Linked DNA regions of Struthio camelus. Each later gene encodes a partner of the first gene's protein in a complex. Links are inferred from orthologs where the notes say so. Each region holds a gene or a part of one and is shown on either strand. Other genes may lie near its edges.

The links.
Region 2: the proteins of MED13 (region 1) and CDK8 are in contact, whole or in part, in a cryo-EM structure (PDB 8TQC), measured with the Homo sapiens proteins. The link is inferred for Struthio camelus from reciprocal best matches to the Homo sapiens genes MED13 and CDK8. Residues at the interface, in NP_005112.2 of Homo sapiens: Thr1616, Met1617, Asp1618, Arg1619, Lys1621, Val1622, Gly1623, Ile1624, Pro1625, Thr1626, Asp1627, Gly1628, Asp1629, Ser1630, Val1732, Lys1733, Thr1734, Leu1735, Thr1736, Gly1737, Phe1738; in NP_001251.1 of Homo sapiens: Leu9, Glu12, Arg13, Arg71, Lys74, His75, Pro76, Leu81, Gln82, Lys83, Val84, Tyr133, Asp137, His140, Tyr141, Met330, Gln331, Phe335, Leu336, Leu340, Pro341, Thr342, Ser343, Asp344.
Region 3: MED13 (region 1) and MED24 share a complex: the UniProt entries of both Homo sapiens proteins name them as parts of the mediator complex. The link is inferred for Struthio camelus from reciprocal best matches to the Homo sapiens genes MED13 and MED24.

The regions. Positions count from the first base shown.
Region 1 is NC_090957.1:18,770,633-18,778,316, reverse strand, and holds the start of MED13 (mediator of RNA polymerase II transcription subunit 13), read right to left. Parts: upstream 3,187-7,684; 5' UTR 2,770-3,186; coding exon 2,704-2,769; intron 678-2,703; coding exon 443-677; intron 1-442. UniProt on the Homo sapiens protein: Component of the Mediator complex, a coactivator involved in the regulated transcription of nearly all RNA polymerase II-dependent genes.
Region 2 is NC_090942.1:201,383,683-201,391,109, forward strand, and holds the start of CDK8 (cyclin-dependent kinase 8), read right to left. Parts: upstream 3,457-7,427; 5' UTR 3,399-3,456; coding exon 3,271-3,398; intron 1-3,270.
Region 3 is NC_090966.1:6,788,836-6,796,470, reverse strand, and holds the start of MED24 (mediator of RNA polymerase II transcription subunit 24), read left to right. Parts: upstream 1-4,179; 5' UTR 4,180-4,240; exon of another isoform or gene 4,241-4,328; 5' UTR 4,329-4,330; coding exon 4,331-4,460; intron 4,461-6,754; coding exon 6,755-6,837; intron 6,838-7,373; coding exon 7,374-7,412; intron 7,413-7,635. UniProt on the Homo sapiens protein: Component of the Mediator complex, a coactivator involved in the regulated transcription of nearly all RNA polymerase II-dependent genes.

The DNA.
Region 1 (7,684 bases):
GAACTTGGAAATGCGAATTGCCCAACAAAAGAGATCTTATCAAAACATATTTAAGACATCAGACCCCCCCACTTTTGATTCACAAGCAAAGCTCAGGGCATATCTTTTCTGAGAAAGTCAAAGTCAAAATTCTTAGGCTTACTTGATTTCTCAAAAGAAACACAGTAAATAAGTGGGGGGCACAAAATTGCTCCTTGAATATCTAGCAGCCAAAGACCACCTAAACAGATACCAACTGTTTGACTAGCGCACTGCCATAATTTGGCTTTTCTGAGAGCCCTATCCACTATCACCACAAACTCAAAAGTCACAGACTTGTAGTAATAAAACTATAGACAATAAATAGTCCACCTAGTATAGATTTTGTAAAGACTGGCAGGAGACAGCCCTGAGTAACAGTATCCTTCCACCAGTCAACAGAAGGTATTTTAATTAAACCTACCTGAAAGATCATGATGAATAAGATCAGCAAAGTTGGGATCATCACCCCACCAAAATATCCATAGCTCCCTGCGTCCAGGTCTTTGGTCTCGACGCCAAACACCAAGTACATCCGCCTTCAGACAGCGACTGAAGCTGCTCAAAATAGGGTCCTCTTCCGTGACCGGAAAGAGAATTGGGGCAGATGTTGGACCCTGCCATACATATCGCTTCCATTTAATCCCAGTTAGATCAGCCTAAGGGAAGGAAAAGAACAATTATCAGACACTGGAAGGGGGACAAGGAGGAAAACCAAAGTCGAGAAGTAATTCCAAGTCTCTTGGAAGGGAACTGGAAACGGTCAGCTTTTTGTAACTGAAACACCCTGCTATACCAAGATGGTGACACAGAAAGAGGAGGGTGGGAGGAACAAGGAAGGATTATATCAGCAAAACTTAAGATAAACTATACTTACAAGATACATTATAAAATAAGGTGCCTGTTTATTTTCAATCTCTTTAAATAACTGCAGTAAAGCAAGAGTGGTTAATTTTCACTGCAGCATTAAGATTGCAGAGGGAAAAGTAAGATTTAATTTTAAATAAAAAACTGAAAAAGTGCATGACATTAGTAAATTGTACAGTTATAGTCTGCAAATAATTACATTAAACATTTACCTTAGCAAAGATCTTCAAGCTTTATTTATGCATACACTACCTTTTAAATTCAATATTTCTCTAAGGAAATAGATAATACAGTACATCTAGCTTAAGCATACATTCTTCCAGTAATCTAGCATTTGGGAAAATTTCACAAGCTTATCCATTTTAAAATATTCTCTCCCTCACACAGGAAGCCTTTCGAGTGCACTCTCGTGCTTTTCATTTCTCACACTACATTTTAAGAATTTTAAATCCTGTTTCTATCCTGAAAATTACATATCTGATTTAAGTCCACACTGGTTAAGATGCACTAAATCCCCTTCCAGACAAAGATCCACATTACTTTACAAAGTAAAAGAGTTGCAATTATTATACCTAATAGGAAAGAGACAATTCCTGAATAATCTACAAAGCAACACTGTACCAAGTTTTAAGGCTACCAAAGTTCCCCCCCCCCCCCACTTGAGAACAGTCACCTTAAGGCACTTTGGAAGCATTGCCCATGGGATCTATTTGAGAAGGGAGAAGGAAGGTTAGATGGCACACTTGCCAAGAACTAATTTTTTCTTCCTAATGTGACAACACACAAGATTACTGCAACATTTAAACCTAACATGGCAGCCTTCCTACCTTCAGTAAGGAGCAATTTAGATGAAAGGTAGGGAGTTTGCAACAGTTGATACCTTAGAAAGACTAAGATTTAAAAACATACTACTGATATGGAGCTGCAGGCCTGATGCAATCTGAAGGCACGTTCAGGTTGTCCAGATTCCCCTCCCTCCAAAAATACCAGCACAACAGCTTGGCACAGGTTTTTACTTATAACAATCTCTAGAATAATAAATACCAGGCAGTCATCTAAAATTAGCTAATATGCCTGAGAAAGCAGATGAAACAGGTCATCACAACCACCAAGAATTGCATCATGGTCCAGTTAAATCAAATCGGGAACTGCCTAAAATCAAGAATTTAAACAATTTCATACTTAGGTTTAAAAAAAAAAAAAAACACACTACAAAATGGTGCACAATAAAACAGAAGATATCACTACTTCATACAGAGTGCATCACTAAAAACAGATCTCCAGAATAATTAAAACAAAAATAAACGAAAAGCAATAAAAGAAACCATTTAGGAAGCAAAGGGGGAGGTCTCAGCTCTGAATTTGTTCGGGATGTCACGGGGGCGGGAGGAGGGGGGGAGAAAGTTCACTAGAGGAAGAAGATGTGGGGCAGGGAGAAAAGGAGCAGGAGATCCCCCTACCTCCTGCTGGAAACACCACATTCAGTAGCAGAGATAAGGTTAAAGAGAAAGCAGAAAAAGTTGTAGGCAAGGAAACAGCAGGAAAAGGCAAGTTGTAGGGAGAATATCGAGAGAAAAAGGAGGGAGGGGCAACATTAGATAGACAGCAGCGGCGGGGGGGGGGGGGGAGGGAGGGAAGCAGAGGGGCACCGGAGAGTTGGCTGGCTCCAGGCAGGGCCTACTCTGAGGACTCATCCAACAGAAGCTATGCTAAAAATGGCTGCTTTGCTGCCACTACCCCTTCCTCCCCTCCCCCCGAAAGCTTCTCCCTCGCCCCCTCCGCGCCCGCGGTGCGTGTGCGCCGGCGGCGGGCACTCACCAGGCAGAAGAGGTTGGAATGGCAATCCTCCAGGCTGGCCCCGTTCGGCACGAAGCAGGAACTCATCCTCACAGCCACAACCCACACGCCATTATCCCACAGCCTCCGACAAGAAAGAAAGAGACAGACAGAGAGAGAGAGAGCGAGAGAGAGAGAGAGAGAGAGGGAGAGACAGACACTGCGAGGGAAAGGGGGGAGGGGGGGGACTAGGCACACGCACAAATAATAATACAATTAAATAAGGGATTTACATACGCACATACACACAAAATAGTGGCAGGATAAATAATCCAGGAGGAGAGTGGTATAAGACAGGGCTTTTAAAAATAACAATTAAAAAAAAAAAAAAGAGAGAGAAACTCAGAACGTTTTCTCTTCTTCTGGATATCAAAGAGGGGGGGTAAAGCCACCATGGAAGGGGAGAGCAGAAAGAGGGAGGTGGTAAGTAATCCAACGACAGGAGATTAAGATCAAAATCCTCCCTGTTCCTCTTGTCTTCTCATTCGCGTAAGGAGGGGAGGGAGCGGAGGTAAGGTGAAGGGGGTAATTGATCCAACAAGAGGATAAAAAGGGGGTAATTAATCCAGGGGGCTAGGGGTAAAAATCAGCTGACATCCCTCCTTCCTCTTATCTCAGAGGCCAAGCAAGAGAAGTAGGAAAAAATAAATAATCCGATGGGGGCAATTAATCCAGAAACCTCCCTCCTGCTTCTTTAGTCATCAGATGGGAAAGGGGCAAATCGTGGAATGACTGGGAAGGACTGGTGGTGGGAGAGAGCAAAATCCAGGCTCGTCTCTTCGGAGTCCGAGGGCAACAGGGTAGGGGGCGGGGGGGGGGGAGAATCAGATTCTTCTTCCCTGCTCCAAATATATTCCAAATAAATTAAAAATTAAAATCATAAAAAACAAACTTTAGGGCCAGAAGCAAGGCAAGCCTGAAGAATTCGTAAAGGCAGGAGAAGGAAATTTCCTGGGGTGCACCCCGAAAACCATCTGCGGGGGCAGGGGAGGGGGGAAGGTATTCCTTGAGAGAGGAGAGGCCGCAAAAAGTCTCCTCGGCAGCCCAGCAAGGGATTAAATTCCCTTGCGGAAACCCCCCCTCCCCAAAAAGAAATACTCTTCGCTGAGAGGGTGAGACCAAAATATCCTCCGCTGGCGGCGGCGGGGGGGGGGGGATCCTTCCGTGGGGGGAAAGGAGGGAGGGGAAGGGGAGGGGGTCGGAAGGAGGAAACTGTGGGTGACCCTCGAAGTCTCTTCGGGGAAGGACGGAGGCGTCTGGCGGCGGAGGCCGAGCCCCAGTCTTTTCGGAGGAGGAGGAGGAAGGGGCAAATCCCAGAGCGTCTTCGGGGAGGCTCGTCTCCCCCCCCCCCCCCAAAAAAAAAAAAAAAAAAAAAAAAAAGCTGTCCTCCGGGGCCGCGGGAGCCCCGCGAAGTCCACACGGCTGGGCGGGTCTCTTCAGGGGAGCCCGCACCCCGCCAAGCGCCCGCCGAGAGCAGGAGGCGGGGGGGCCCCCTCCACCGCGACAAGCCCCGCAAGACCCCCGAGAGCTGGAAGGGGGGGGGGGGAGGAGAAGCAGCCTAGTTGCGAGGCTGGACCCTTTAAAAAATTAAAGGAAAAAAAAAACAAGCAAAAAAAATAAAAAAAAAGGAGAGAAATATAAAATATCAGTCTTCAGGCGGGGCGGTCTCTTCGGCGGGGGGAGGGGAGCGAGCCCCGGCCCCCCCCCGCTGGCCCCAGGTGAGGGGGCTCCGCGAGGGCCGCGGGAAGGCTCGGCGCTGCCCCGCCGCGGCGGCCCGGCGGGGGCAGTGGGCGGAGGGCCCCCTGCCCGAGGTCTCCTCGGGAGGGCGGGGAGGCGGCGGCGGCGGCCGAGCCCCGGGCTCTCCTCAGCCGGAAGGGCCGCGGGGGAAAGGGGTCGGAGCCCCGCAAATCCCGGCCCCGCTGCTGCCGCCGCCGGGCGCCGACACCGAGGGGACGCGGCGGCCGCTGCTGCTGCTGCTGGCGGAGTCGGTGCCCCGAAGCCCCCGCTGGCGGGTCTCCTCCTCCTCCTCGCTCGCTCTCTCTCAGCGGTGCCTCTGTCGGCGGCTGCCCGGCCGCGGCATCCTGGTCAGCCGGCTGCCCCTCAGCGCGTCTCCCCCATGTCGCGTCGCGGCCGCCGCGGGGAGGGGGAGGAGGGGGGCTTCTTCTCCCGTTTAATTCCGAGCCCCTTTTTCTTTAATGGCGGCCACAGGGACGAGAGTCGGGGCCCCCCTGCCGCGCTCCCATTGGTCGCCACGCCGTCACGTGGGCCTGCCCAGCGATGGCCGCCGTCGCTGCCGGGCGAAGGCGGCTGCAGCGGCGGAGCCCGGCCGGCAGCCGCGGAGGCGGCGCTAGAGAGCGCGGCGCTTTGCTCGTTGAGAGGCCGCCATCTAGCGGCCGCCGCCGGGCGTGGCGCCGCGGGCTGAGCCGCGCGTTTGGGCGCAGCGGGAGTTGCGGCGCCCGCGGGTTCGAGGCCCGCCTTCCCGCGAGGCCCGCAGCGGGCGCGGCCCTGCGCCGCTCGCGGCTCCCCCGCCGGGGCGCCCGGGCAGCGGCTCCCGGCAGCGCCGCGGCCCGTCGGGGGGCCCGTACGGCGCTTTACCGAGGTGTTTCTCAAGCATCCGCTCGCAGCTGGCCCGCCTCGGGCCAAAGTCCGAGCACAGGCTGCTTCACCTACCTATGAGCGCGGAAAGTCTTATCTTGGCTCGCTCTCTACACGTTTCAGCTCTTGGCAGAGACGGGCGCTCAATACCACGTTGGCACCGGGCACTGGGGAGCGCGAAGCCTTTTTAAAGAGCTACGCAAGCATTAAGAACAGGAGCTTATGTTTTCAGGAGTGCCACAGACATCGGATCTGCTGCCGCAGCAAAACCGTACTCCAAAATTCAAGTTTTCATGTACGGATGTAGATCGTGTAACTCGTGAGGAAGAAGTAGGTGGTACCTCTGTTACTACGTGTACAGATTTGCAGAAGGACTTAGAGAGTATTCAGAATTAAGATGCTACAGTGACAAAGTGAAAGCTATTTTTAGGAAATATTTTGAAAGTATACTCATCTTGTTAATACTCCCATGTTACATATTAATTTTCTATTGCACTAAATGCAATATCTTGCATGTAGAATGTAAAATTTAACATTATATTTAGAATGTTTGGTTTGCAAAATTAAGTGGAAATATAAACCACTGTAAAGTATCTAAAGTAAAAAAAAATATATAAACCACTGAAGCGTCTACAGTAAAAGAAAGACACATTACTCAGCTAACATGACATTCACATTAAAATATGATATGTTCTTGCAAGAGCAGCACATTGCATCACAACTATGCAACATGATGATGTTTCAAAGGCCCTACAAATTATTTCGGGACTCACGAACAAGACGAGTGGCAACCTTCGGCAAACGTCTTGATAGAGTGGGAGGAAAGAAGGACGCTCTATAAATAAATCTATCTGATAAGTAGAAACAATAAGGAGGATAGATATTTTCGCTAAGACAAAACTTTGAAGATTTACTCACACCAAGACTATTTTTGTATGTCAGTGTAGGCAAGCAAAATTTTGCTTCTTATCTAAATAGAACGGGAGTATTTTTAACACAGGAGATTCATTCCCTCACTGCTCATCTAAATACAGCAGCTGGGGATGAAGCAGGGATGTGGGGGGAGGGCAGTGTGCAACCCCAGCCCCTTTCCAAGTAGAACAGATGGTTTTCTCCATGGTGACTGGAGATGAGGACCATGCGAGGAGGATTTGCTCTGCAGCAGCGTTTGAACCTACTTCTCCATGCTGCCGTGGGCAGAGATGCACACAAAAGACCTCCAAAGTTTCCGTGCTCCACTTTGGTCATTAGAGTGGTTGTCTTACTGCACAGAGAGAGAGTTCCCTGGCAACGTTTTTAAGTCACACCTCCCTAAGGAGAAATCCAACACTTCGAAGGAAATAAAAGAAAGCAGCACTTGGCATTAATACACAAGAACCGTTATGGTCTTCCTCTGACAGAGAAAGTATCCTTTGGTAAAACTGGGATTTGGTGGAGGGAATGGAAATCCAGTAAGATGCCTCACTGTGGGCTAGCCTCATAACAAATGTAAACTTGCATTTCTCCACTGAATTCAGGATAACACCAAATTGTCACTAGCTGAGAATCTATTTATTTTCCCTGAAATAATACAGTTCAATGTCCGGATCAGAGGATTAATCTAGCATCTAACATTGGTTTTGGCACTGATTCACTTCCTAGTTTTGAGGAACTCGGTTTCTGTATCTCAGTTTACTTATTTGTAAAACGCATTTTGAGACCCAGTTCATTAGTTCTTACATATTAATAGTAGTAAGTACTTACATAGGACCAAGGGACAGTCAAGAGCAGAACATCATTTTTCCAAAACCTTATTACAGGAGGAAGAATCAAGAAAATATTGACAAAAGAGGAAACAAAGCTAGTACATCAACTAGAATTTGTTTTTCAAATCATTCTCTTCTTGTGTCGTACCTGAAATACAGAACCTTCAGGTCATCAACTTTCCTCATTACACGAACAGTACTAAATAACATTAAGACACACTGGATAATAGTTATATCCGTGTGTGACAAATTTTGGATCTTGTGACATAGCTTGCCTTTGGTTACTGCAGGTGCTATTTGGGAAATAAAGTCTCCTTAAAAAAGAGGGAGGAGGCAGATAAAAAAATATTGTGAAAAAATGTCATTGAAAATACACTTTCTATTTTCTACATACGTTCTTATACAGTTCTCATCACTGCAACTTCCAGAAGTGCAGTAAGCTGCATAATTAGCATCTGTCACATGCAGCCTTTTCCATCTCGCTTCCTCTCCCTAGAGGGAAACTGCATGAAGAAATTTTAACATAAATGTTAGTATATACACTATGCAGTGCATTCATATTGGGAAAGGGACAGTCCAATAAGTTTGTGCTCGTTCCTAGGTTCATCTTTGTGTAATATAAA
Region 2 (7,427 bases), on another chromosome or scaffold:
GACCGCAGCAGTCAATGGAAAACTAGGAAGGAAAACTAGGACTATGGTCTTTTTTGATCATAAAGACTACAAACTTAAAAATAAAGTAAATAAGAACTTCAGAACCAAATACAGTTTTTCTACAGTCAACACACCATGTGGAGCTCAGCTGTAACAACTGACGTTGCTGAACACTGGATCAGCTGAATAACAGGTTCAGGTTTTGGCAGTGAACATACAAGAAACTGCATCTGGTGACCCCATCTCAACAAACCCAAAGCCTCACTTTGTGGCAAAGGGCACCACATGGCTGGGTTGGCTCTTTCATAAAGTGGGTCATAAAAACCACAGTATGCTCTTGTCAGGTCACTAAAGAGCATATGGTCTATTTCTCTCTTTAGGATTCTCACTACACCGAGATTACTGTAAGACTGTCTCCCAAAATATCCCCATGTAGTTTCAGCTGGATACATTGCCTTTAAGTCTCCTCCAACAGTTCCGACATGAAGCTGCTATCTAGTTTTGTACTGTCACATTTCACCTCAGAGGCAACTGTAAAAGCAACCAGGAAAAAAAGAAGTGAAGTCTGTTGTCATACTAAAAACACTAACTCTTACTACTGTTAAACTGGATTTTCATCATCAAGAGCTTCCAAATATATATTTGCACACACTGACTTATTATTTCTCCTCAGTGTTTGTTCTGTTCATTAGAAATCTGTACGCAAAAAGTGTTGTCATTTTAAAAGAGCTCCAATATTTTCAATAAAACGTTCACAGTCCTGTAACACACATTCTTCAAAGTCCTTTGAAAACTGAGGGATATGAATAGGCTTAAAGGGGCTTTTGTTATTTAAAGTAACAATCAAAAGTATATAATGAAGTTTAAAGTACATGTATATGTTTAAGGAAAAAAGTTTGAAAACTTAAAGAGAGCAAAACGGTAACTTCACATGTACTTATGCAGCTCAAACTTTCTTTACTACAAGTGACTTACTCAAGACGGTTACTCATCCACCAATATCTACTATTTGGGGGATAACGAAATAGTATTATTTGGCATATAAGAACATGAAAAAGTTGAACTCTATCTTTCATAAGCTTATCACTGTAAGACACAATGTCCATTCATCCATCATCATAGTTACAGAAAATGAGTAATTACATGTTTGCTTTCACAACTTGATTCCTTTTGATAAAGGTCTCTAAACAGAACCTTTAACTTCAATCTGAAATCCATCCGTATAATTTAAGATCATGTATCTGCAAGTACACTAGAAACTACAAAATCATCCAGAGACACTGATATCTTACATATCTGAGTGACGGTTTAAGGGCAATTACATAGCATATTTCATACAGAAAGCTTTCAGAACCTGGAAGGCAAATAAGAGACAACAGAGGAAGGGAAAAAGAAGGAGCCACTAAGTGAACAACATGGCAAAAAAGTAGACAATGTATTTCACTCATCAGTTTTCTGACAGAGCCTAATCAAATATCATACCTTGATTTTTTTCCGCAGAAAAGATAGGACTGATTTAAAGATTTAAATCATACACTCTGAATAACTGAGAGAAAAATCTACGCTAAAGACCCCATTTGGTCTTTAGCTATCCATTTTTAAAAACACAGTTATATTTTGCTGAAATTACTCAAAATAACACTAGCACCAGTAGCTCTAGACACTCTGTCCCAAATATCATCAAGCAGACTGATAATTTGACTAAAAATGTTTGAATAATGCTTCACCAGTATCAAATTCTGAATTCCCTATATACTGCTGCAGTCCAGCATGCTTAACGGCTGCAAAGAGTTTGACGTAAATTGGAGACTTAGTTAATATCTTTCAATACCTCACCTATTCTCATATTAGAGGTCTCCTTATCTTTACCGAAACTAGAGTTGGTTGTAACAGCAAAGTACCTGCACGTAAGGAGACTTGAGGCTACAGCCTCTCAAACTCAAAAAAAAAAAAAAAAAAAAAAAAACATTGAGACAATGTAAGAACTATTCTTCTGAACAGTACAGGTTTGAAGGATCCAACTTAAAATTTGAAAAAAAAAAGTGAGCTGACTCATAGCCGTGAACAAGATTCACACAGAAATAGCTGTGCTACTATTAATATGAGCATGTTTAAGGCACATTAGACAAAATAAGGCGTAACCAATCCCATTACAAAATCATTCCGTAGGTTCGTTGAGCATTTCTAGAATTATAACATGTAAAAAGAACCAGATCATATTTCAGTCATAAGTGACAAAGGCCTTTTTAAAGGTGCTTTATTTATCAAATGTAAAAAGAATACCCAGAGCTTTAAAATACACATTATAGCAATTGGAACACACAAAGCACTACTGTGATGAGACTGCAGCAAAAATAACGTGTAATTTAAAATTTAGGATCTATTACAAGAACAAGCTCTGCCCCCCCTATTTCTTCTGCTCCCTGTTTCCTATTGTTCTGTTGTTGAAAAAGTGGTGCCATGTCATGGATTAGCGAACCCACAGTTAGCTGTATTTGCTCTTTTAAACATTTGTGCCAGGAAATTTTACTCAAGTCTGTACAAAGAACTAGTCACAAACATAGATCTTTCAAAATATTTTTAAGCCCTGAAAGGTCCAGCAGACTTCAGCTCCAGGAGCAGCCAGGAAGAACACCCAAAATGGTGACTACAAGTAATAAATCAGACAAAAAAAAAAGCACTATGGAAAAAATAAAATCCTGTTCTACAGGGCAGATGGTGAACATTTGAGGTGGCTACTTGTTTATTCAAAGTGGAAATTGGTTAAGCGTTTTCCTAAACTAGATCTTTCTCTTTTTTTCCTCCAAAAGCTATCAGTAGGAAAACAAGACTCCAGCATTACACTGAAGGGATAGGAACGGTCAGACTAAAGCACGCTCCGGGTGACGTACGAGACAGCAAGCACAGGCGAGCCGAGCAGCGGGTTTTAACAGCGCACCAGAGGAAGACGCGCCAGCGAGAGAGAAGCTAAGAGAGGGCAAGAGGAAAGGCGGCATGAACGGCCGGGCGGGGGGCCCGTGCACGGACACGCCGGGCACCGAGACACCGAGGGGCAGTGCAGCAAGGCCCCAGGGCTGCGGCGCCGGGCGCGGCGGGGACCGGCGGCGGCCCAGGAGGTGCCGGGGAGAGGAGGAAGCGGTGGGCGCGGGAGCCCCGGCGGCAGGGCGGGGAAGATGGAGGAGGCGCGGGCAGGGCGAGAGGGGCCGGGGGGGGAAGGGGGGAGGGTGGCGGCGGCGGCCCGCCACGGGGGGAGCCGCGCTCCTCACTCACCCGTCCTTCCGCTTGGCTTTGTAGACGTGCCCGTAGGTGCCCCTGCCCACCTTGCAGCCCTCGTACTCGAAGAGGTCCTCCACCCGCTCGCGCTCCCCGGTCAGCTTCACCTTGAAGTCATAGTCCATCTTCAGCGCCCGCCGCGCCGCGCCGAGCCGCCCCGCGCCGCCCCCCGACCGCCGCGCTCCCCGCCGCGCCCCGCCCCGCCGCGCCCCGGCAGCAGCAGCAGCAGCAGCAGGAGGCCGCCGAGCCGCCCCGCGGACCATCCAGGGGCAGGCGGGCGGGCGGCGGGGCTGCTCCCTCCCCTCCCGAGCCCCGTCCTCCGCCGCCCCTCCCCGCCTCGGCCAGGCAGCGGCACGACAGCCGGTCACCCGGGCGGAATACGGCGGCCGCGCCTGACCGCACTGCCGCAAAGAAGCGTCGCAAAGCCCAGACGCCTCCCCGGCACCGGGTGCGGCGGGCAGCGCACCACGTGGACCGCGGCCGGCTGCGACCTCCGCCGGCAGCCCCGCCCCCCACCGCCCGGCCCGGCATGCTTTGCGGCAAGGGGCGGCCAGATGCACCCTGGAAGATGTAGTACAGAGGAGGGGGAGGCGGGAGGGAGCGCCCACACTGCCTGCCGGGAGCTGTAGTCTTGGCCGGGAGGGGCATGCTGGGAGGTGTAGTCTTCAGCCGGCAAGGCGGCGCGCTGCCTCCTGGGAGCTGTAGTCCCTGGGTGCTTTGCGGGGCGGCGGTGCAGGGCGGGGCGGGGGGCAGAGGGGGCAGGCGGGCCGCGCCGCCGGCCGCACGGCCCGCTACGGGAGGCGGCGGCGGCGGCGCGGCTCCGGCCGCACGGCCCGCTACGGGAGGCGGCGGCGGCGGCGGCGGCGCGGCTCCGGCCGCACGGCCCGCTACGGGAGGCGGCGGCGGCGGCGCGGCTCCGGCCGCGGGGTCTCCAGGCGCAGGCGCAGCACTGGGCGTTGCGAACTTGCGGCCACTGGTGGCGTCAGCAGGCTGTCGGCGTGGCGTCATGAGGAGGCAGCGCGCGTTGTCCTCGCGGCGTGCCGTGCCCCGGGCGCGGGGGGCGTTGCGGTGCCCAGCTTGCTCCAGGCGGATGGTGCCGGATGGTCCTTGCCTGCCGCGGCTGCCAAGTCGTGTTTTAACGCTGTTCTGCTCAGTAAGCTCGCGCGAGTTGGGGTGCGGCGAACCCTCTGCCTGGGAGCGCAGCGGCACGCCGGCCTCCCGCCGCCTGCCGCGCCCTGCGGAAGCAGCACCTTTCGCAAAGCCCTTGCGCCCTCCCGGGAAGCCGTCGCCCTCTGATTCCTCTCCGTCCTTGGCACAGCTTCAGTTACTAAACCCAACGCAAGGCCAGGGAGACGGCTTTTGCAGTAGGGACTGTGTAACTGAACTAAAAGTGCAGGAGTCTCTTTAAGTACAGCCCAGCTTTTGGCATTTTTAGCAATTGCGCGTAAATGCAGCACATTGCATCTCAAGAATGCAGTGCTGGTTAGTGGGCGCTCACATCCCTCCACGAGAGACAAAATATTGCACAGTTTGGGGGATTCTAATCGAAAAATTATATTTTCTGGTACTTTCTGAATGTTTTTCCATTTTAATTTACACATTAAGCTTGATTCCTGAAAATTGGGCATAGGGATGTGTCAGCCCTACTGACATTACTCAAATAATTACTGATGTCAGAGGCCCACAGTTTGACCTTCGGTATGTAGCTGTTAGGGACGTAACTTTTGTTAGATAAAGCACAATTACGCAGATGTTATGAAAAAAAACCCACATGTAATTAGTAGAAATACCAGAATAAAATTTATGCAAGAACATTTGCCTGGCAACTCGCTACACCAATCAACAAGAAACAGCTTGCAGTGGTCTGCCAACCAGCAAAGATGAAACAGTCTGGAAGATGCTCTCCACCTGTTAAAACTCATCCACCTCAGTCTGCAGGAGAGCGGCATGACAATACCTTCAGGGACACCTGACCGTGGAGAACCTCCCGGGGCACCTGGGACCAGGCTTGCAGAGCTGGAGCCACCGCTCTCAGCGCTCTGCTCCTCCTGACAACTCTCACTCCTGTCAGCAAGGAGAAAGGAAGTAGAGATAATCCCTTTGCTGTAACTTTGTAGTGTTCTTTGCATTATTCATCACTCTTTCACACAGGCAATAAATATCCAAACTCCTTCACACCAATCCAATTATTGCACAGTAATGAATGCATGCACTTAGTCTATCCCCATCTAAACCATGACAGGGTGTGGAGGAGAATCAATGTCTGCTTAGAAAGAAAAGACAGCATGAATACAAACGGGGATATAGAATCCAGACTCGTTTTCTGAGGACCTGTGATACTTTTTACATGTTTACACTAAACCATTTGGAAAGAATTCCATACTTTGCCAAACAAACTCAGAAGACAAAACCACAATAAAAATAACTTTTTTTCTCTTTTAGGTTTTGATCCTTTCGTAAGAGTGTTTAGAAGTCTGCCTCCCTGCAAATGTTTCTTTCATTAGCCTTTCCTAACATTTGGTTTGTATGTCATTTAGAAGTAGCGTAACTAAAGTTTTCTGCTTCTTCGCTTTGTTTTTACTTCAGATGCTTTTATTGTGGGTAACATCTAGTTTTACCAATTCAAATGGATGAGTACCAAGTCCTAAGAGACTTGGAAAAGCAAGAACATCTTGATCTTTTTAATGGTAAGACATTAATACTGACGTTTCAGGACCAACTTTCAATTTTATTTCATGGAAAAAATGCATACTTCTCTGTGATTTGTTTTAAAAAATCTGTCAAAGTACAACAGCATAATATCAAGAAAAGTTTCATTTTTTGCTCCGTTCTTAAAAAGAAAGAGATGACCAGGCCATGATCTGCTATTCTTGACTCTCAGGTCCCCACAATGGGTCTTTAAATTGGCAAGAAGTGCTTTTCATGATAGATTTTCTTATTTCATACAAACATTTTTTTCATCTCTCCTTTCCTGCTGTCTCAGAAATCAATTTAAAAAGCTGTAAATGTATGCTTAACATGCCCTGCTGAATTCATTTAACCAGAGCTTTCCCCTTTTCCTCTATCTTTCACGCTATCCTTTACAAGATCTTCCTATTCCAACTTTGTGTTGTATCTAGTTTCCTGCACGCAAACACTTTTGACGTTTTTTTGTCTGAAACCACTACACCTGAAGAAAATCAGTTCTCCATAGAAAAGTAACTGTCATTGTGTTAGCATTGAGAAAGCATAGTGGGTTGGAGATGGTTATCCAAGTGAGCAGTATCAGCTCAAAGAGGAAAGTAGTCACGAAGGTTCACTTCATTAAATGTCTCTGAATGTAGGGAATTGTATTTCGCAGTGAAAGAGCTGAATTGTCTGGGAACTGGCAGGACTGTAGTAATAAGCAGATGTTGACTGTTGAGGTAAGGCACCAGATAAAGAGGGTTCTGTACCCGAGCTGGAGCAGCAGCCCTGCAGATTCTGAAAGCAAAGCTGGTTTTGTTGTGAGCATGTTGGCATGCTAATGTCCACAGTGTAGGTGGAAGAATCAGAATCTGCGAAGCAAAGCTTGTAGCTGGGGAATATACAAAAAACTACGTAATCTACTACTACTACAAAAGGCTACTTAATTTGCAGTCTTTGTAAACAGAGGGGGAAAATATAACAGCATATATCTTTTTTTGCTTTCTCATCCTTGTATTTTTAAATGGATTCCTACAACAACCACATGTCCCCATGCCATTAGAATGCCCCTAGAATGTCATCTCCACTCCATTCACTCATTTGCCAAATTTAAACATGCAGATTATGCTTTTCAGAGACCAGCTACTCTTCATTTAAAAGTAGCTACCTGCTAACGGTTTCACACTGAAGCCAAAGGGATATTCTTTAGCAGTTTGACTAAAAATTATTCCCAGCTTGATACTCAATGAGAAAGGGCCAGCCCTGCTAAGTACTGTACATCTTCCACTTCTGCTTAGATTAGTGAAAGCTGAAGGCAACAGAATATTAGGGGCTGGAGGGTTCTTTTCTGTTTGTAAAGAAAAACAAATGTTGTGATACTTACACAGACTGATCATTTTCTAGAAACGTTGCAGCTGTTAATGTGCAGATGAGTTAGCTGAATACTGGCTGTATTTAAGAAAGTAGTTTATTTAAAGCTGAAGTGTTGA
Region 3 (7,635 bases), on another chromosome or scaffold:
GACAGGGATGGTGCCCATGGAGGAGGGGGGTGATGCTCCAGGGTGGTTGGGTCAGTCCCCAAGGCAGGCTGGGGATGGTGCCCACGGCCCCCACGGTGCCCATGGAGGGACAGGGATGGTGCCCATGGAGGAGGGGGGTGATGCTCCAGGGTGGTTGGGTCAGTGCCCAGAGGGGATGGGGACAGAGCCCGCAGGAAGCCAGCGGGGCGGCGACGTCTGCGATGCGTGGGGGAGCCGGGGCCAGGCCCTGCGCTGCCCCCGGGCCGGCCCCAGCGGGACACGCCGCTCCACGCTCAAGGGGGTGCCAGGACCCCCGGGAACTCGGGCGAGCGAAGCAGGGCCAGCGCCCGGCCGTGCACCCCTGGGTGCCCACCGAGGCACGTCCCACACCCGGCACGGACAGGCCCCCTGCACCGGCACCCACCGGCACCCGGGTCTGCCAGGGGAGAGAGACCGTGCCGTGGGGCGGGGACGCGGCCGTGGGGCCGGGGATGGTGGGCGCACTTGGACACCGGGGGGCCGGGGCTGGGGGGAGCCCTGGGGTGCAATAGGGGGCTGCCCCTTAGCAGCCCCCCAGCCTGCCTTTCCCACCCCACCTCCTTCCCAGCAGGCCTTGCGCTCGCCCCCCCGGACTACAACTCCCATCATGCCCGGCTCTTAAAGGGCCAGCGCCCCCTTCCCGCGGGCGGGAGCTGCGGCCGCCCTGGCAGGGATGCTCGGGGGCCGCGGTCCGGGATGGACCCCCGGGATCTCCCCGAGGTGCCGGGGGGGGGTCTCTGCTTGCCCGCTCCCACCCCTCAGCACCTCCCAGCACTGTGGCCCACGCCTTCACGGCTTGCCAAGGCAGCACGGTGGTTGCCGTGGGACGGGTGTACCCAGGAGATGGGGGCACGCAGGGGACGAGGGTACCCACGGGATGGTGGCACCTAGGGGATGGCAGTACCCATGGGATGGGTGTGCCCAGGGAATGAGGGTACCCGGGGGGGGGTATCGAGTGTACAGGGATACCCAGAGCATCGTGGTTCCCATGGGACGGTGGTATTGGGGTGCTACCCAGGGAACGGCAGCGCCCAAGGGATGGTGGTACCCAAGGGATGCTGGTGCCCAGGGGACGGTGCTACCCAGGGAGTGGCAGTACCCAAGGGATGGGGGTACGCAGGGGGCAGCGGTATCCGGGGCACAAGAATACCCGGGGGACGGTGGTACCCAAGGGATGGCGGTACCCAGGGGATGGGGATAACCAGGACATGGTAGCGCGCAGGGCATGGCGATGCCGGGGCATAGCGGTACCCGGAGCATAGTGACAACCAGAGCGTGGCGGTACCTGCGGCATGGTGGCACCCTGGGCACGGTGGTACCCAGGGCACGATGGTGCCCAGGGCAGACCCACCTTCCACCCCGTGCCGGGTGCTCGGCCCCAGCCGGTGGCGGGTGCCCGGCACCCCCGGGCTCGTCGGCTCCCGCCGGCGCCCGCGGCCCCACCCCCAGCCGGCGGCTCGCGGCGGCCGCGCGGAGCCAGCGTGGCAGGGGGAAGGGGCGGCTGCGCGCCCGCCCCGGCCCCGGCCCCGGCCCCGGCCCCCTGCCCTCGCTGTACTGTACACTTTATCCTCTGCAAACACGCGGCGGCGGCGGCGGCTGCCCTTCCCCGCCGCACGCGCCGTCTGCCTGCGATAAGGACGCAGCCAGGGCTGAGTTCATCCTGCCCCCCGGGGCCGGCACGGCACGGCAACCTCAGCAAAACGCCGTGTCCCCGGGTCCCCCCGCGGCCCAGCTGGCCCCGGCGCCGCCGAGACCCCCGGCACCCTGGGGCTGCCCGCACTGAGGGGGAAACTGAGGCAGGGCAGGAGGCTGCCGTTTGCCCCAGCGCTGGCAGCGGACCCCGGCGTCCTGCGGGCTGAGACCCACGCGCGGATGCTCGGCGCGGGTGCCGGGCATGGCGGGCTCGATCCGAGCGCCCGCGGCCGGCCCGGAGCCGGAGGGACGCGGTGAGGCCGCGTCTCGCTCCTGGCGAGATGCGATCGGCCGGAACGAGCTCATTAAAATTCATCCCGCTGCTCTGCGGCGCGAAGCGGCTATATATAGCCGGGGCCTGGCAGCGCGGCCACGGAGCTGGGGCAACGCGCCGCGGGTGCCGCCGAGCCTGCGGGTGACCCCACCGGGGCCCTGCCGCCCTCCGGGCTGCCCAGCGTCGCCCCGGGGCCGCCGCCGGCGCCCAGGAAGGGGGCGACGCTCCGTGGACAGCGCGGGAAAGCGGCCCGGGACCCGGCTGGCCCGCGGGAACCGAGCTTGGGCCACCGGGGACGGACGCAGGCTGGGGTGCCGGGGGCTCCGGCGGGAGCGTCGCCCATCTCCAGCCTGGCCCCCCCCCCCCCCCACCTCCGGCTTCCTGCCGGGAACTCATCATGGGAATAAAATCTTTCACACCCAATAAAATACCAACAGGCAGACACAGGCGGGTGGGAACCGGCCCCGTCTGGCCCCCCGCTCAGAGCAGGGACGAGCGCATCCCGGGGGGGGGGCCCGGACGCCTGGGTTCCCCCGGCGGGCAGGGCGGCCCCCCCGGCTGCGGGGCGCTGGGAACGGCCGCGGCCCCTTCCGGCAGCCCCCGGCGCCGGGGGGCTGGAGGCAGCTGGGCCGCGGCGCCCTGCCAAGGCGGGCCGCGGTGCGGGGAGCTCGGCGAGGCCGCGGCGCCTTCCCGGGCGCCGGCCGCCCCCGCGCTGGGCGGGGGGCTCCGTTCCCAGGCGGTTGAGGGGGGGGGCCGGACAGGGACCCCCGCACCCTGCCGTCCCGTCCCGCCACCCCACGCTGCTCTCGGTGCCCCCTGGAGCCCAGCGGGACGGTTCGGGGTGGCTGAGGGGCCCCTGGGGATGGGAGGGGGTCTTGCTGCCGGGGGCGGGGGGGGGGTTCATCTCGGCCTCGCCGTGCCCCCGCTCCCCCCTGCCGGGGCCCGGGGCGCGGACCCGCGGCCGCGCAGTGTCCGGTTACCCCTCGCCAGCTGCCGGGGACTGTCCCCCCCACCCCCGGCCGCCCCCGCCCCCGGCACAGGAAATCCGTCCTCATGAATAGGGGCCGGGGCCCCCCCGGCTGCCGGGGGCCCGCGGCGCCGGGGCAGCGCCTAATCCCGGCTCCGGCGCAGGGGGATTTGCAGCCGCCCGCGCGCCCCGGCCCCATGAATGATTAACACGGGAATTAAGGGGCCTCGGAGACCCCCGGAGCAGGGGGGGGGGGAGCGGCAGGGCGGGCGCTGCCACATCGTGGGGCTCCCACCTGCTCCCTCTCCCGTGGGGTGCTCCCTCAACCCGTGGGGTGCTCCCTCAACCCGTGGGGTCCCATCCGCCCCCGCGGGGCTGCCCCAAGGCCGCCCGCGCCCCCCCGTGGTTGCCCCAGCGCCCTTCAGCACCTTGGACAGCGGCGTGGGGGTGGGGGGTGGAGCAGCCCGTGGGTGGCCACGCGGGGCCGCGGCCCCGCGCGGGTGGAGGGGAAGGGGGCTCCGGGGAGCCGCGTGTTGCTGCACCACGCGGGGCCGCGCCGCCGGCAGAGCCCCGCCGCGTGCACACGCGTGTCCGCGCACGCCCCGGCGGCCAGGCCCGCGCGCGCCCCCGCCCACGCGCGGCGGCTCTGCGCGCGCGCGCGCGTGCGGGCTCGCGCCTGCATTCCCCTCCCCGTCTCCCGCGCGCCCGGCCGCGCGCGCCTGCCCCCACCACGCGCGCGCGCGCGGCAGCCCGCGCGCGCGCACGGCCACACACCTCTGCACGAGCGCGCGAGCTCGCGCGTGGGTGCGCCCCCGCATTTTGCCCGCCTGTTTCTGCCAAGCCGAGCTCGCGCCGGGGCGTTTTCCCGCGCGTGTTTTGCACGCCCGTGTCCGCGCGCGTGCACTCCCCCCCCTCGGCGGGCGCGTGTTGCGCGCGGGCGCCTGTCTGCGCGCGTGCGCGCGCGCGCGCGGGGGGTTTCCACACCGCCCCCCCCCACCCTGCTTGCACGCGGGCGGTGTGCACGCGTGCATCGGCGCGGAAGCCCCCGCCCGGCCGCCCTTCCGCGCGCCCCTCTGCGCGCACGTGTTCGCACCCACGCGCGGCCGCACGCGCGCTGGCGCGCCGCTCCCCCCTCCATGACGCCACCGCCTCTTACTACATCTCCCAGCCTGCCCCGCGCCGCGCCGACCAATCAGCGCGCGGCTTCCTGCCGGGTGCCAACATGGCGGTGCCCAGGCGCTGAGGCCCCGCGGCCTTGTTGGGCGCCGGTGAGCGGAGGCGGCAGCGGTACCGGCACCGGCAGCGATCCCGATCCCGATCCCGATCCCGGGCCGGGCTGACGCGCTCTCCCCGCAGCCATGAAGGTGGTGAACCTGAAGCAGGCCATCCTGCAGGCCTGGAAGGAGCGCTGGAGCGACTTCCAGTGGGCCGTCAACATGAAGCGGTTCTTCCCCCGCGGCGCCACCTGGGACATCCTCAACCTGGCAGGTGAGGGGGGGGGGCTCCTCCTCCTCCTGCTGCCTCAGTTTCCCCCACCCAGGGCGGGTAACGGCGCCGTCGGGGCCCAGGTGCCGCTCTGTGCCCCCCCCCCACTGCCCCCTTTAATTAGAATTTCTTTTCCTGTCCCTATTCAAGGGCGTTTGACACAAATCCTGCCAAACGCTGCTACCTGCTGAGTTACGTGGTTTAAAGATTTGCCAGGCTTTTATGCCAGTTGTAGAAACCTGTTGCTAGGGTGTGCGTTTTGTTGGTGGTGGGTTTTTTTTGTCCCCTGTGCAGCAAGCGCCTGTTTGCAAAGCCGGGATAAACAAACACGAAGCGCCGCTCGAGGACGGCCGTGGAGGGAAACGGCCCTGAGGCGGGCGGTGAACCGCTCCTGGCCGCGCTGAGCGGGGAGGACCTTTTCCCAGCTGACCTTTTTCCCTCGCTCTGTCCTACCCGCGCTTTCTTTCAGCAGCCTCTGGCCCAGCCCCAGCTCCGGAGGGCAGGTTCCTTCAAACCGCGTCCCCGCAGCCGGTTCGGCCCCCACCCGCGGGGGCTCCGTGAAGGGCAGCGCGGGGTCCCCAGGCTTCCCGGAGCTCGGCGACGCCTGTCTCGGTCGTGCCGGAGCTGCGGGGCCGGCTGTGGCCGAGGAGACTGTGGGGCAGCCCTGGGGAAATAGGTTCGCTCGGGGCGGCCGGCGTGGACGCGGCAGCAGGGTGCCGCCGTCTCAGCGCTGCGGGACGCGCAGGGAGGTTCGGGGTGAGCTGGTGCTCAGGAAGGTGGTTCGAGGCCCGGCCCTGCTGCCGGCCAGCTGCTTCCCGGGGTCGATTTCCAGCCCTGCAGCCCTTTGCCTGCCTCACCCAGGCAGGGTCCTCTCCAGCTCAGTTTGCTGAGGCAGCAAGGCCTGTGGGGTACTTGGTGTGGGCCTGCCTGCGTATCCCTGGGAGCAGAGTGGCTGCTTTCTGCCAAATAAAGTCCGGTCAAAGGGTTAGAGATAATCCGCGCCTACAATTTCTGTGAAGACAGGTTTCTCCTGACCACCTCTTAGTGCGGCAGCTGAAGGAAAGGCTCGTTAGCCCAGCCTGCGTTGGAGGGCAGCTGCTCCGCAAGGAGGCGGAGGAAACTGGGTCCGTCTGGCTTCAGGAACTGCTTGTGAGGGGATGTTGGCATTGCCGGGCCTTCCTGGGCAGTGCGAGTGTTGTGTGAGGGCCAGCAGGTTGTGAGCGCGCAGGGAGGGTGTTCCTGAAGGCCGGGATGGCTGTAACAACCGCTGTGTTCATAGCGCTGCTTTCTTTCTAAGCCCCTCTCACCGCAGCCCTGGCGCAGTCTTTCCAAGCTCGTGCGTTTCAGGTTCAGACTACAAAGGAGGAGAATCTGGCACGAGCCGCCAGAATCACGGCGGTGCCCAGCAAATCTATGCTGACACGTCTGCAGTGGGTAACAGCATGTGGCTGGCTCGCGTTGACGCTCCCTGATTAGATGGGGGTGGGAAGGGGGAAGGTTGCCATCAGCCTTCTGTCTCTGAGCCGCGATGCTTTTGCATGTGGTCCGAGCCCCCGTTTGAGATGCCGGGTGCCTTTTGCTTCTGCGGCTGTGATACAGCCGTGGCCGCTCCTCGTTTTCTTTGGGGAGACGGTTTTCTTTGGGGGGGGACGGCTGCTTCCCCTCTCGCGTCTGGGTGCGTTGACCTACTTGCAGCCCGTGCCGCAGCCTGGGGCCTGCTTTTGCGAGGTAGTTCCTGCACTCTGCCATAGTTCAAATGGTCAATTAAAGGCTTGACTGAGCAGATAGGACGGGCAGGAGCCCCTCCAGCTTCCGAAGGCCGGCGCTGGCAGGCAGCCAGCAGGAGGGAGTGCCAGACATGCAGAGCTGATCTCAGCAGAGGGGCTCTTTGCCTCGAGTTCAGCCCCAGGTGCCAGAGCAAAAGTCACTCAGTGGTGGATGCCAGAGCCTCCTGGGCAGTCTGTGGGAGGAAGGGGAACGTGTTTGGAGAGCATCAGGTGCTGTTTGGGGCCTGGGGACCCTGGGAGAGCTGAGTCAGCAGGAGGCTGCTTGTGCTTCCTAAATTATTTACTGGCTTTTGCTGCTGGGATTATAAAGTTATGGGATTCAGTTAATTTCAGGGAAGGTCTGTGCAAAGTCTTTGTGATAAGCACAGTTTATTTTTGTCACCTTCCCTGTGGGATGAGGCAGAGAACGAGAGCACGACGTATGCGTGAGTGTGTGTGTTGGTGCGTGTGTTTCCCCATGTCATGTATTTGCTGACCTGGGACCTCCTGGCCCCTCTCCTTTGCTTGCAGAGGCTCTTCTCGAACAGGCTATGATCGGGCCGTCACCGAACCCACTCATCTTGTCCTACCTGAAATATGCTATCAGTTCCCAGGTAATAACACTCTTTGTGTGCTGCAGGCGCTGCTGGGTGTTGCCTTGCAGCCCCAAGTAGCAGGCGGGCAAAGAAACTGGGGTGTGGCATTGGTGTCGGGCAGACACCCCAAATCTCCCGTCTGCGCCTTGAAGGCATTGCGCCTCCCCCTCGGCCGGGGCGGGTGGCGGAGAGCTCTGCTCGGCACATGCCCAAAGCAAAGATCTGTCTGTAAATAGCGTACGTCCGCCGCCCAGCTGCGCACAGACAGGGTAGAAGTCCTTGCCTTCCGAGAGCCTCTGCAGTTGCTATAAGCCATGCACTTTCTGACTGTAGCATTTAATATTGTTTAAAGTTTGTGTGAAACAAATCAGCGATCACCTAAAAATGTCTGTTTGGATTTGTGCCGGGTCAGTGCCCCAGCCCCATCCGCGGTGGCAGGCAGCGAGGCCATGCCCTGACCTTGCCGTTCCCCAGCAACGGGCGCCGCGCTTACAAACATCACCTACTAACACGCTGCTCTGCCGGGTTTGTTTTGGTTTGTGTTTTGTTCTTAGATGGTGTCTTATTCCACGGTACTGACGGCCATCAGCAAGGTACGGCTCCGACAGCTGCTGTCTGAGGTTTTTCTCTTTACCTGTGATCCACATATCCATTTCCCTCCCCAGAACTCTCACCAAATATAGGTCAAGTGGAAAATGACATCCTCCGCTGAGTCAGCAGCGGTTGGGTGGCACAGATTAGCAATGAGCCAGCCCTTTCGTGTCCTGCTGGGGACGGGCTGTCGCCGTTCCTGACAGGGCCCCGCTCTCGTTCGGG